Linked DNA regions of Ovis aries. The protein of the gene in region 2 interacts with the protein of the main gene of each other region in a pairwise test. Links are inferred from orthologs where the notes say so. Each region holds a gene or a part of one and is shown on either strand. Other genes may lie near its edges. The genes, in order: VTI1B, LDLRAD1 and PLN.

Region 1 (5,238 bases), on a different chromosome or scaffold from region 2:
ATGCTGTATATGAAGTGAAAAAGCCTTCTTGTTGCTTCTGATCTGGAAACACATCTTTTCAGCTTCTTACTGGTGGTATCGAGTGCTAATGGTCACCTGCTCAGTAACAGGCCTTGTGAGCTGACCCCTTTTCCAGAGTTTGTACGCACGTGTGCTCTGAAGAGCTGAGGACTTAGAGCTGCCTCCATTTCTGTCAGTAGTTATTTCTGGCCTGACAAAGGCTGCTTCGGTCCTCATGCCTCCTGTGCTTAGGAATAGGTGGAATAATACTTTGGTGGAGTTTCAGAAATAGGGCGCTTACTTGGCCCCAGATACTACCTCCCCTGAGAGTAAATCACCAGTGTAACAACTTCAGTATTTGTCTTCTGTGTTTGGCCTGAGGCGAAATTCTTTGGATGCTTACCAAGAGTGTAGCTACTTTTTTCCAGAGAGGAGTAGTCTTTCACACTTTTAAGTGATTTCTGTGTGTGCTAAACACGAATAGCTTATTCTGTGGTCACTCAGTACCAATCAGTGGGAACTTTCAGTGAATTACACTATCTCTAAGGCGGTAGAGTTTAGTTGGTTTACCCTATCAAAATGATAGGATGTATGCATTTTCAGGTAGCTCCTGCATCCCAGATCTGGGCCATTGCCTCTCAGAAGTTGTTAGTCCAGGAAGCACATGAGTCAGTTCAGATTCATCAGGAGCACAAGGAAGATGCTCTGGTGTATTGAATCCTTTCCTTGCCTCACTTACATGTAACAAGCAGTGGACTGGGAGGTATTGTGATCCTAGATTGAACCCCAGGTTCTCTTGTAGTCTGATTCATTAGCATCTTTGATTGTCTTACAAGTAATGAAAATTACTACACATTATATCCCTTCTTATAAATTCATTTATAATGGAAGAAGTCTAACAATTCCCTTCCATACTCCTGTCAGAATCGGCTACAGTCTCAAAGGGCATTGCTTCTGCAAGGCACTGACAGCCTGAACCGGGCCACCCAGAGTATTGAGCGTTCTCATCGTATTGCCGCAGAGACTGACCAGATTGGCTCAGAAATCATAGAAGAGCTGGGGGAGCAACGTGACCAATTGGAACGTACCAAGAATAGAGTAAGTCTGGGTGGATAGGGAGAGGGGCAAAAATGGGGAAAGTAGGTGGGCCCATTACACCCTGATGCTGTCAGAAGCTACCACAGTTCCAAATTCAGGGTATGATTTTTTAGGTTCTTATGCTTTCTCTGTTCGTAATTTGCTTGACTAAAACATATCCCTTGGAAGTAATTTTACTTGTAAGATTTAGAGGTCATTGGGCAGGGGGAGTGAGATTGCATAAAACCCAGTTTCTGCATTTATTGAAGATTGTCAAATAGCATTGTAGCCATACCATCCTTTTATTAGGTCCTGTATTATGAACTAAATTTCTGTCTCTCACACGTCTAGTAGAACACCTGCTATTCTTATGAAAGCCAACATTTGCTTTAAAAGATTCTAGCTTTCCTGTCATTTAGAGCCAAAGCTATTTTCCACATGTCATAAAATAGTACTACCGACAATTTAAAGAGGTTTAATCCTGGACTCTTCTTAACCTAAGGTAAGGGAGATCATGGGCTTCCCTGATGGCTCAGTGGTAAAGAATGCGCCTGCAGTGTAGGAGACACAGGAGACAGAGGTTCGATCCCTGGGTCGGGAAGATCCCCTGGAGTAGGAAACAGCAACCCACTCCAGTATTCTTGCCTAGGAAGTCCCATGGACAGAGGACGTGGCGGGCTACAGTCCATGGGGTCACAGAGTCAGATATGACTGAGCAACTAACACCACTACTGCTACACACTAGGGGAGATCACTGTGAGAAAACAAAATCCTTAGGCCAAATGATGACTATATTGTGGCCTCTATCTACTATCACTCTAAGAGGCTCTGAAAAACAACTTATTTCTTCCTTTCTGTACCATCTGCAAAGGAATTTTAAAAACTGCCAATGGAATGCTGTGTTAAGAGCATGAGGCAGATAAACGAAACACAGATACTGTGGGCAAGACTTAGACATGAGAAGGTCGTCTCAAATCCCCACACTGAGCTGTTATTTTCCCACGTTAGTGGCCATAATTCTCCACTCTTAAAATCAAGTCAGGTATCACCCTCCTCAGTGAAAATTCACAGTAAAGTACTGAATTCAAGTAAGCTGCAGAGAAAGCAGCTTGTTTGCAGATTGCATGGTTTATTTGTTTTTACTTTTGAACTTACTAGATGGATTAGTTGAATTTAAAAGCTGAGGAATGAGCTGAGAGATCAACTTAACCAAGGCCACTGGTGAACAGGAACAGATGGCAGGTGGCATCTGTTGAAATATCCTCCAGCTATATAGGTTAGTAACAGGCAACAAAAAGGGGGAAAAAAAGGCTTTTAAAAAAAAGATTAATTCCTTTCATAATTCAATGTAAGTATCTCTTAAAAGGGTAAAGAAAAAAGGAAAAAGAACCAGATCTCAAAAGTGGTAATCCACCAGCCTATAAAAACAAACATTAACTCAGGAGGCTCTCCTGGAGTTTGGCTGATGAAATTCACATCTTAAGTTGCTCAGAGTTACTTCGGTTACTGGCAAGGTACACTTGAAGACTTTGTTTTGTGTAGCCACAGTGAAGGATTAGCTCAGTCCCAGAGGTCTCCTCACAGCAGCCTTGGGATACAATCATTCCTAGGCCTTATTGATAAGTATTAGAGTATCTTGTCCTTTCCAGTTTCTTCTATTTACAGAGGCCATCATTTAAATTGATTTGATTTCTGGGAGTTTTTCAACATAAACCCTTTAACACCCGTCAATTTACTCAGGTTCAGTTCTACAGTGTGTACTTCTGTAAGAAGAGGGAAATAATTGCTATTTTCTCTTCTCAGCTGGTAAATACAAGTGAAAACTTGAGCAAAAGTCGGAAGATTCTCCGCTCAATGTCCAGAAAGTAAGTTTTAAAAATTAGTCACAGAATTAATTTCTCTTAATTCTAATCTTTCGGCTGAGAATGTCAAAGCTTTAAACTGTGACTTGCAAAGGTACTGATAAAACAGAAGAAATAAAGAGTATCACATAGTTAAGTATCCCAGGAAAAAAATCCATTTTTGGAAGTATATATGCTGGTATGATTTGGAGCCATGGAAAACTGGTCTACTGGAAGGACTTTTTATCCTAGTTTACATTCCTTAAAGAAGAGAGCACATGGGAACAGAGCATTCCTGGAAATAAATTTGTAAAAACTTAATTAGAAAACTTTTCACTGCTATGGCTTCGTACTTGATTTTGGCTCTGCTTGCCCTTTATGGGAGTCAGCCCTTATTTGGGAGTTCTGTCTTGTTAGCAAGGAGCTGACTTGAGAAAAAACCGTCTAGGTAAGTGCTGACAGCAGCAGAGCCATGGGCAGAAGGGAAGTATTGGCACTGAGGCTGAATTTGGGGCGTGAGTCGGTGTAGGTAGTATGAATGAGACTATAACCAAGTTATGGAACTAGCAAGAGAATGAGATTTTCCAAAACAGTGGTAAGTTCCTTGTGGAGCAGGAAGAAATGTCCGATTTCGATTCTTTGTGTTAAAGAATATAGGAGTGTCAGAAAAATTTCTACCTTTATAGAGAAAGAAAGGCAAGAAGTTTGAGAAGACATTGAAAGGCATTCCCAGCTTCTAGTTACTCATCCTAAAGCAGGACCACCTCCTTGTACCCAAGCTGGACTTGGACCCTGGAGTCTCCCGCCACCCCTTCTCCTAATGTGTCCTCACAGCTGTAGATGTGTTAGGTAGTGAACTTCTACTTTGAAATCTGATTCAGCTGATTTAAAATATGGTATACTTTTTCACATGTACATTTAATATTTTTCTAATTAGCCCATCATAGAAAAAGTACTTTTAAAGTGAAGTACTAATTACTATTTGAAGACATTTTAGAAAAAAAACATTTGTATGTTTTGGTACCTTATTGCCCCATTTTTCAATATTTTTGTGAGGTAGATAGTAGTAATTATTTACAGGTTACTAAGTGGCTACATGATCAAACAAAAATTCAGTCTGCCTCACAGTATCCTGCCTTGGCCCTAGGTCAAACTCCTCAGTATTAAGAATGGAAAGAAATAAGGTTACCCAGAGTTCTGACTACATCCCACTTTGCTTCTCTTTGTAGAGTGACAACCAACAAGCTGCTACTTTCCATCGTCATCTTACTGGAGCTAGCCATTCTGGGAGGCCTGGTTTATTACAAATTCTTTCGCAGGCATTAAACCTCCTGTAGGGAAGGGTTTGTGGACCAGAACTGTCACTCAGTGAATGAATGGCGTTAGAGGTGTGGAAAAAAATCTTATTGCTGCTGTGAACTAGCGGTTCAAGAAGGCACTGTGTAGCCAGACTGTGGGTGGAGGGAGGAAGACGGAAGACCACTGAAATGTGAAGGAACAGTAATAAGACCAGTATGATATACCAAGGTAATAAATGTCCTTTATGACTTCTTTAAGTTTACACAGTGCTCCAACATATTAATACCCTGTGAGCGTCAAAAAACAAATACATGTACAGTACTATTATCGGTCACCAAAATGAAAGGGAAGGAAACTTTACAATTGTAAGAATGCACAAATGTTCTCATTAAGGCAGTATTGACCCAGATGATCATTCAGTTTCTGTCACCGCAAACGCCTCACGGCTCTGGAATGCCCACTGTGACATGTGTCAACAAACAGTATTCCCTAAATTCTTACACGTTCTTCACTCTCTGATTCATCTGGTGAGCTGGGAGTAGGAAGTTGGTCGTAGACAACATGCCCTCCCTCCCTCGTCTGCCCGAAACTCGAAGCAATGACATCCACTGCCAGGCTGGCTGTAGCCTTGGCCTCCTCTTCTGACACAGCCAACCGAGGATTGACTTCAACGAGATCCAGGGCCGAGAGCAACCCTGAAAACACAAAGCAGGACAAAAAGAAAACTTCCTAGCTGCTTCTTTCAGTGAGGGTCGTCCCACCTGGGTAGAACACACCAAGGTGAAAGGGTCATTTTCTACTAGAAAATTACCCACTGTCAGGAAGGCCCTTACACCTCATCCTCTTGGGCATGAATTTAAGTTAGAAACACTGGTAATGCCGGAGTAGGATTGAAAGAAACCTTTAAAGTAATTAAGTCAATTATCCCTGTTTAATAACATAACAGGCATGACTTGACAGGCTTTCTGGTTAGGATGAGCAAGGCCGGGGTGAGGGGTAAGCAGGGGTGGCAGTAGGAGTT
Region 2 (5,338 bases):
TGCAGAACACCTTCACGTACGTGCATGACTTCGTTCTAACCACAAAATTCTGAGGTAAGTATTCTTATCTCCATTCTTCAGATAAGGAAACAGAGAGGCTGTGACTTGCCGCCTTAAATTAGGTAGGTATTAATTTGGCAGAATCAGAATAAACACCCAGGTTTGTCTGACAAGCTGAGACTTGCTGAGCTTATGGGCAGAGGATCTCCACTAGCCATAGCCAGGGTCAGATGGAACCCTAGACCGTAAGGAGTATCATTTCAGTTCAGTTCAGTTGTTCAGTCGTATCCGACTCTTTGCGACCCCATGAATCGCAGCACGCCAGGCCTCCCTGTCCGTCACCATCTCCCGGAGTTCACTCAGACTCACGTCCATCGAGTTGGTGATGCCATCCAGCCATCTCATCCTCTGTTGTCCCCTTCTTCTCCTGCCCCCAATCCCTCCCAGCATCAGAGTCTTTCCCAATGAGTCAACTCTTCGCATGAGGTGGCCAAAGTACTGGAGTTTCAGCTTTAGCATCATTCCTTTCAAAGAAATCCCAGGGCTGATCTCCTTCAGAATGGACTGGTTGGATCTCCTTGCAGTCCAAGGAACTCTCAAGAGTCTTCTCCAACATCACAGTTTAAAAGCATCAATTCTTCGGTGCTCAGCCTTCTTCACAGTCCAACTCTCACATCCATACATGACCACAGGAAAAACCATAGCCTTGACTAGACAGAACTTAGTCAGCAAAGTGATGTCTCTGCTTTTGAATAGGGAAAGGCAAATCTGAGCAGGTGGGGAGAGTTGGAGAAGGCTTCATGGAATAAGATTCTTGCCTGGTTCTGGACAAGAAAGATGGATTTAGAAAGGTGGATGGAGCCAGCAGAAATCACTCTAAGCAAGTGACAAGCTACATACTGGGAGAGATGTGTTTGATCCATGCCATAAAGAATTCAAAGTCAACATAAACCCTAAGTCAATAAGAAAAAGATAAGTCACCTATAGAAAAATGGACAACAGATAGGAAAAAGCCTTTCACGAGGGAAGAAATCCACACAAGCAATATATATTTAAGAGGGCAACATTACAGCATGGGCTGGGGCAGGGCTTTTCAAACTGAATATGCATTTGAGCCTCCTAAAGCTCTTGTTAAAATGCAGGTTCTGGCTTTGTGGGCCTGGATGGGATTCCGTCTCTCACACATGATGAGGTCCTGCTGGTCCGAGGACCACACTTTTGAGAAGTGAGGAGATAGGTAGAGGTAATGTGTGAACTTCTCAGCCACCCACATCTATAACGCAGCTATGCCTCCTTTCAACTGTGAACCTTGGGCAAGTAACAATGTTTCTGTGCCTCAATTTCCTCATCTGTGAAATGGAGATGATAATAGTCTCCATCATTTGTGGTCAGGAGGACTAAGTGGGTTAACATATGTAACACCTGTAGTGCAGCATGTGACAAGACAAGCGTTCAGTACATGTTAGCAGTTGGTGGTGGCAATAGGAGTTACTAGAGAAACGCAAACTAAACCACAGTAAGATAGCATTTCACACCCACCAGAGGCGGATGGAGGTCAGAAAGTCTGACACTTTCAAGACTGAGGACACAGACACTCTTGTCACTGCTAATGGGGGTGCAAACTGGTACAGCCTCCTGGAAGAGTGGTTGGGTAGTATCTGGTGAAGTTGGGGGCCCCTGCAGTGTGATTCCAGATATATGTGTGTGTGTATTTCTAGAGAGTGTGTTGGGTGTTGAGTGGGGAGGACAAAGAGATCCATCTACGGGGGCACCGCCTTTCTTCAGGATGAGGGGAAAAGAAGTTTCAAGAGACAGATGAGAAAGCTGAAACTCAGGTTAAGTGACCTATCGTTTTAGTGGAAAACACATATTCTTTCCACATAGATTATGTGTTTCATTGAACAAATATCAATGAAAGCACGATCCCTGCTTTTTAGCCACTAGAACCTTAATTCTGGGTATTTCCGCCTGGATCTTCATGCAGCTGGGGGGGACCTGAGATCCTCCATCTCATCATCGATGTGGAGAAAAATCACACACTGAAAAATTTCTGGGTTCAGCTTCCCTCTCAACCCTGCACCATGTGACTCAAGGGCAGTTTCTCGCTCTCTGAACCTCAGACTCTTCTCTCACATAGAGAATTCTGGCGTTGGAGCGTGGCTGTCAGCCTGCAGAGAGGGAAGAGGCCAGGCCGGAGCAGGGCCCTCCTGCCCTCTCCTCTTCTCAGGAGGCAGCCTGGGAGGAGCCTGCCCACAGGGAGGGTGCGGCCAGGAAAGGCCTCCTGTCATTCCTTTTCCTAGCTGCCCTTGGTGACAGGCCGGGAACCTGGCAAGTTTTCTGCACTGCCAGGGCCGGAGACTGGAGCTGGGAGCCGGAGACATGAACAAGATCTCCCCCCAGGTAAGAGCTGCCCCGAGAAGGCTCCTGACCTGGGGGGCAGGGCGCGGGGCAAACCCCGGGATAAGGGTGGGCAGTAAAGAAGGGAGACACAGGTCCCCCACCGCCCCGGAGGCTCTCTACCACGTTGTAGGGAGATGCAACAGGTGAACCAGGTACATGGTTCAGGCAGTGAGAGCTGGGAGGGGACAGGAGGCCAGGGGAGGGAATGATCAACATTAAGGGGGGGCGCCTGGGGAGCTTCTCCAAGGGGGTACCCCCTGAGCTGGTTTGAAGGATGAATGTTTGCCAAATAGGCAGTGGAGGAAAAGGCTTTCCAGGCAAAGGGCACAGTACAGGCAAAAGTGTGGGAACATAAAGCAGACATGAGTGTGGGGCAGCCGAGTGGGAGGGCCAGTGTTTCCACCCAAGGCTCTTGTGAGGCTTCTGAAAAACTTTTCAGTCTAGCTGCCTGAGGCTGGACCTCCCCTCACCTCAGCCCACCCCACATTCTCTTCTCTTGGGCAGGGGGATGCCAATGGCAATGCTGCTGCTGGAAGCAAAGCCCTCCCTGGAGGGGAAGGTAAAGGCCGGGGGACCTGGGGCCAGCCCCTCCCCCACATGGGACTTCCTTGATGCTGGGCGGTTGCTATGGAGACACAAAAGCAGCTCCCTAAGGCTCTGTCTCTCAGACCTCTGCCCCATTGTTGATGTCATCCATTCCCAGTGTCCCAGCCATCTGTACTGATGGCCATTTGCTAAATGCATAAGCTCATGTGCTGCCCACCCCCACAGACATACACTGCCCCCCAAAACCCATAGAGGAAAGAGCTCTAGAGGCCAGTCCCTGACTCAGGGTGACCCAGGTGGGTCTCTACCTCTGAGGGATAAGGTGGGAGGGATCTCACATTTACTGAGCACCTGCTCTCAGCCACAGGCTCACCAAGTGACCAGGACAGTGTGCTTTACTTCTGTGGAATAAGAAGAAAAAAATACTTTTATTGAGCACCTACTATGTGTCCAATCTTGACTCTCACTTGACCACTGAGGGGAGAGACCCAGAGAGGTAGCTACTATTAATAACTATCAAGGATCAAGGCCCTACTGTGTGCCCAGCACCATGGGGCCTCTTCTACACCCAATGGTCAGCTCCGAGGGGGTCTCTTGTTCGGTGCAATAGCAGATGAGGCAGCTGAGGTGACGTGAGGTCGGGTGGTTCAGCCAAACTGGGATCCCGCACGGATGGGAGGCGTGAGGCAGGGTTCAAATTCAAATTAGGGTCCCTCGGCTTGCAGAGCCCCAGTATCTTTTTGCTACACAGTGGCATTCATTTATTTCAACCCTGCTTTATGAAGGACCTGGCATGGAATAATGGCCTCCTTTTCCCATCTGTCCCCAGGGGGATCAGCACTTAAGGGCTTTCAGGCTTTGAAGTGCAACCTTCACCTGGCCATGGACCCTGAGACGCTCCTGTGACCCCTCCTGCCCCACCTGTGCTGCGCAAATATTTGAGAAGCAGCTGCTTGGCTGACCGACCAGGACGCTTCTCCTTGCCAGCCTTCTCGCTGTCTCCCTGGTTACCTGAGTTTACAAGGGAGCCACTGACCAAGGCTGCAAGGAATGTGGGCTTTAGATTTATGCTGCGTCTCCTAATATTTCTCCCTTCCCAAGGTACCCCCACCCTGGGCTTCAGCCACACTTTCTGTCCCCCACATGCCATCAGGACCTCTACCCTCCTGGGCCCTCTACTTGGACTGCGCTCTCCTTGCACCTTCCCCTCACCCACCCGTGGAAATCCCATCCTCCTTCAAACACCCAGGACGCCCCATTCACCACCTTGGTCACCTGGCTGTGCGAGCTGCTGGGGTACAGGTACTGGTCTGCCTGATGGACCAGCACAGAGCAGGCTGCTCTGAAAATGTGAGTGGACTGTATGGAAGAGACCTGAACTGACTCGAACTGGGTTCTTCCCAAGGCACCTATCGTGTGCCTGCTGCTGGGCTGACCTCTGGGGACACATGCCCCTGCCCTTCCCTCAGAAAATAGTCCCCGGGGGACAGAGAAGCGCTCACGCTCTTGTTTTTGTGTCCAGACCTTGTCTTCTAAGTGAGACTGCAAGCTTTTGGAGGGCAAGGGTCAGAGATGTGCTTGCTTTTATGTCCTCTACAGAGCAGGGCACCTGGTGTTAGTCACTCAGTCATGTTCAGCTCTTTGCAACCCCATGGACTGTAACCTGCCAGGATCCTCCAGGCAGGAGTACTGGAGTGGGTTGCCATTTCCTTCTCCAGGGGATCTTCCCGACCCAGGGATTGAACCTGGGTCTCCCATGTTGCAGGCCATCTGAGCCACCAGGGAACTTAGAAGGTCCCCAATAAGATTTTCTTTCATTATTTCAAAAGCCAGAAAAAATTCAGGAGCAAAGTCAGTTAAAGGTGTCACTATCATTTCCAGATTGGCACATAGTAGACGCTCAATAAAGACAAATAGTAGCTAGAACCTTTATAGCACTTACTATGTACCAAGCCCTGTTCTGATCCAGTACCTAGCTCAATCCTCTCAACAATTCTAATGTAGGCATTGGAGCCCCATTTCCCACATGAGGAAAACAGGCACAGAGAAGTAAAGGGGCTTCTCAGTGTGGCCCAGCTGAAAAGTGGTGGAGCTGGGATTCCAACCAGCATCCTGGCAGGTTCCAGAAGGAACAATCACTGACACCATGGAAAGAGTGCCAATTTTGGCAGCAAACAGATGTGGGCTGACATAAGAGCTCCACACAAGGGGACCTGGACTTTTCCTTCTCTGAGCTTCAGTTTCCTCATCTGTAAAATAAACGTTGTCTTGAGTAATGAATTAATGGCCATGAAGGGCCTGCTTTGGCTTCTGCCCTATGGCAGGAACTCAGTAAGCAGGTGTCCGTGTCTCCTTCCTCATCTCCTGGGACTCATGGAAGGACACGGGGCTT
Region 3 (3,949 bases), on a different chromosome or scaffold from region 2:
TGACCAATTTTTACTTCTATTGTTCTATCAGTAGTTGGAAGATATTTTTAAATGAAGAGAAACTTGAAATGTATTCAGCAAGAAAATCATTGTAGATTAGTATTGCTGGTTAGTGTAGTAGAGTGGCCTACCACTTAGGTGTTTACCACCTGGTTGATAGATTAAGGAAAATAGCTATACCCTATCATGAACAGTAGTGGGATAAAAATTTTACTGTAAAATTTAAGAATTTGTTGATTTTGGAGAAAGAGTTAAATTTTTTTTTTCTAATGCTTGAAGTAATATTTTTTTCTTATTTTGCTTGCCTACAATGAGTGTGAGATTAAAATAGAAGACAACCTGTAAAATCATTCTAATCTTAAAATTTTATGATTCCAGTGGCAAGTTATGTGCTCTGACTCAGGTAATTAGCTATAGTGCTTTAAATGAAGATTAGGTTCTATTCTGTTAGTGTGTTAGTAATTATGGCTAATCATACTGTCAGATGTTAAATTAACCAACAGTTCTTGTCTATTGATCATAAAGTCCTGGTGAGAACAGATTTATGGTTTACCTGCACATATTAAAATTCTGTAATTCTTTGAGAAAATTAGTTGTTTTATCTGTCTAAGGGTATGGTCTTGCTTGATTTTACTCAATTCTTATAAACTTAAAATGTTAGGGTATTATAGAAAAAGTATAATTTCTGTTTTAGAGTGTAGGGTCTGATAGAGTTACTATGGAGACTTCTGTATGATGATAAACAAGGGCTATTTCAAATGATATTTCATTTGAATGATTATTTTGGTATACTTGGTGAGGACCTGAAAAATACTCAATAAATCATCCAAGAGGCTTTTACAGTACAATATAAATTATATTTATCCCAAAGAGTGAAGCTGATGCTTTATATATGAAGTGAGCTTATTAGCAGTGCAGTTTCAAAACTAAACTCCTAGTTCATCCTTAGGAAAGATTTGGGATAGAAGCTTAAGGTCTGTTTAGAAAATTAACAGTTACATTATGCACACTTACATTATAGTCACTTTAAAGTTAATTTTTGAAAATAAAGCCCTTCTTATGTTTACAACATCCAGCAGATGAATACGTTTGCTAACAATTTGCTCTGTTCCAAATCTCGACCTTTTCACAAAGAAATTCTTCTATTTAGGAAGTGGTCTCTTATATAGTATTGTTTCCCCTTCTTCATGGGATGACAGATTTTAAGCTGATGGCGGTAAGTGGCAGCGCTGGAGGTTGCAGCAGAACTTCAGAGAAGCATCACTATGATGCAGATCAGCAGGAGACATATTAAGATGAGACAGAAATTGATAAATAGGTTCTGGAGGTTTTGACGTGCTTGTTGAGGCATTTCAATGGTGGAAGCTCTTCTTATAGCAGAGCGAGTGAGGTACTGGACTTTATCCATGGTACCAGGAAGGCAGGGAGCCTGGAGTTTCAAACGCTCAAGAGAAAGGTAAAAAGCTGCCAGCCAAGTGCGTCTTCTTTTAGGTAGCCTGGAATGTAAAAGTAGTAAATGGTTTAGGATCGTAGGTGTAACCTATCCCCTGAACAGGTAAAACACTGTTTTGTGTTCATCCCTCTTCCTCAACCTAATTTGTATTTACGACATCAAATACCTCTAGTCTGTATTGCTCAGGCTCTGTCTTTTTTGGTGATGGTACCATGATATCTTATATTTGGGGTATAGTAACTTCAGTCTTGTCCTCTTTCTCTCAAAATGACTGGAAGTATAATTTGGTTAGGATGCAGCTTGTCTTGGGCTATTCCCTTGGGCCAAAGTTCTTACGTGTTATTTCATTAAGACTGTTTTCTCTGTGAGCACAGTTGTTCTGAGCATCAGTGTATAAATAGCTCCAGAGCAAACTTTATAAAAAGAAGATGCATCAATAAGTTATTCTACAGATGTTGACTTCACTCCAAAATAAAATAGTTCAATGAGAAGTGTTTTACCAGAACTGTAGATTGAAATGTTTCTCATTTGTTTTGATGATTTTATAGCTTTGTAAAATATACTACTTCAAGTAGCATTTTAACAGGATGATATTAAGTACTAAAGATTGCCAGACTCAAATGGCATAGTAATAAAATCATCATTGTCTCACTGTCTACCACACATAGTTGCCATTTGCAAAGGGCCTATACTTAAGAACAGTGTTTGCATTTGCTTTCTTTCAGAGCTCCCACAGGCTGTTCTGCCTAATTAATTAATTATTTGCTGCCTGATCAATTACCTGTGCTGATTAATAAAACAAAACTTAAAACAGTACATCATTGTAGAAAATTAGGTATATTCAGTAGATTAAAAATTAGTTGTAAGTTAAGTGCCCAGAGGTAATAGTTTGGCAATATTTGTTGTCAATCAGGATACTTCTATGTAAATTTTGAAATAAGAAAAATTAGAAATGAAAATTTAAAAATAGTCATAATTAACTGCCAGAGATAATAACTGTTAACATATCTTGACATCTCTGCCGATCAAGATATTACTGCCTTAGCCCAGCTGCCTGGTTTCATTTTCTCCCTAGTGGCTGTACATCTCATGAAGACCCATCTCAGTCTTTAGCTGTATTTTGCAAGAGAGACTGGTAAAGACAGCAGATCTTTAGGCCTGATCTTGAGATTAGGTTAGAACTCATTTACTATTGCAAAGACACCACATGATATACAGTGTTTGGTTGGATTCTGTATAGTTTCAGCACTTCAGCTTGGCTCTATTGGCTGAAGACCCTGCGGTTTTCATAGTACTAGCCTGTAGTGAGGAGATCCAAATAAAGAAATAAAGGCTTTTTCTTTTTTCTTTAAGAAAAAAGTTCTTTAAATTGTTTCAGCTTATATTTGCTTATTATAGATGTAGTGGGTTTCTACTGGTGGGTAATTGTGGAGAAGATTATTACTTTTTTATGTAAACTTGACTAGTCTCTTTACATAACAGAGTATAACCTAGAAGACTGTAAAGAATCAGCATTGGTAGTTCCTGTCTGAACTTAATTTTTATGAAGTTTTAGGACTTAAATGGCGCACAAGCCCTGAATTTTAAAGTTATTGTGAGATATAACATGGAAAAGGAAGAGCAAGCCAGTTCATCATGAAGTCACTCCCCTCCCCCAACACTGGGGAGCGGTACTTTAGTCACATGAAACGTGTCACCTTTCCATAAATACTTCATTCCCTTTTATGATTGTCTTTTGCACATGTTTTTCTGGCCCTGCCTGGAATGTCTCCCCTCCCCCTGCCTCTACCTTTGATTCTTTGCCAGGCAAACTTCAGTTAATCCTTAAGGTCCAGTTTAAATATCACTTCCTAATGAAACCTTCCATTACTCATTAAGGCAGAATTGGTTATCACCTCCGTTGGGTTTTAGTAGGGCTCTAGTGCTGCCTGTATCAAGATGTGGCTAGCAGGCTGTGCTATAATGTTGATTTGCGTGCCTGTTCCCCCTGCTAGACTTCCTGTTCACGAGTATAAAAATTCCCGGGCTTACTTTGTATTCTAGTGCTTAAGTGCAAAATGAGTACCATTTGAATAAATCAGTGAAGCTAAACAGTGAATTATTTATTATGATTTACTTTAATGTTTTTAGAAAATTATTAATGATCAAAGATAGTGCTTTGATTAGCAGGTGAACCATTTAGGTCATAGAATTTGATAAACCTAATCTCCAGTATTCTTCTCAAGTCTCTTTACAGATGAGGAAAGTGAGGCTTAGAATATTTACTTTAGAAATTAAAACTTAAACTATTGTTAGTGACTAACAGAATTAACCTGAACTGAGCTTTGTACAAGTGGGTATTTGGTGTTTGTGAAATACAAAGAGGTTTCTCCTAAAGAGATGAGCTATCCAATGATGATGAATAATGGATAGACTTAAAAGATGATCTCATAATACTTCAGCCAACTATTGTCAGAAAAGTTCCTGGAGACAAATTGAGTATAAAGGAGACAACCA

The links.
Region 1: the proteins of LDLRAD1 (region 2) and VTI1B interact in binary tests that used the Homo sapiens proteins (3 or more experiments, as listed by UniProt). The two-hybrid records come from large-scale screens. The link is inferred for Ovis aries from reciprocal best matches to the Homo sapiens genes LDLRAD1 and VTI1B.
Region 3: the proteins of LDLRAD1 (region 2) and PLN interact in binary tests that used the Homo sapiens proteins (3 or more experiments, as listed by UniProt). The link is inferred for Ovis aries from reciprocal best matches to the Homo sapiens genes LDLRAD1 and PLN.

The regions. Positions count from the first base shown.
Region 1 is NC_056060.1:77,601,207-77,606,444, reverse strand, and holds the end of VTI1B (vesicle transport through interaction with t-SNAREs homolog 1B), read left to right. Parts: intron 1-924; coding exon 925-1,098; intron 1,099-2,880; coding exon 2,881-2,942; intron 2,943-4,147; coding exon 4,148-4,244; 3' UTR 4,245-4,479; downstream 4,480-5,238. Other genes in the region: ARG2 (arginase-2, mitochondrial), read right to left, coding at 4,707-4,912. UniProt on the Homo sapiens protein: V-SNARE that mediates vesicle transport pathways through interactions with t-SNAREs on the target membrane. These interactions are proposed to mediate aspects of the specificity of vesicle trafficking and to promote fusion of the lipid bilayers.
Region 2 is NC_056054.1:28,543,652-28,548,989, reverse strand, and holds the start of LDLRAD1 (low-density lipoprotein receptor class A domain-containing protein 1), read left to right. Parts: upstream 1-2,286; 5' UTR 2,287-2,379; coding exon 2,380-2,400; intron 2,401-2,904; coding exon 2,905-2,959; intron 2,960-3,775; exon of another isoform or gene 3,776-5,338.
Region 3 is NC_056061.1:19,648,742-19,652,690, forward strand, and holds part of PLN (cardiac phospholamban), read right to left. Parts: intron 1,497-3,949; 5' UTR 1,409-1,496; coding exon 1,250-1,408; 3' UTR 1-1,249. UniProt on the Homo sapiens protein: Reversibly inhibits the activity of ATP2A2/SERCA2 in cardiac sarcoplasmic reticulum by decreasing the apparent affinity of the ATPase for Ca(2+).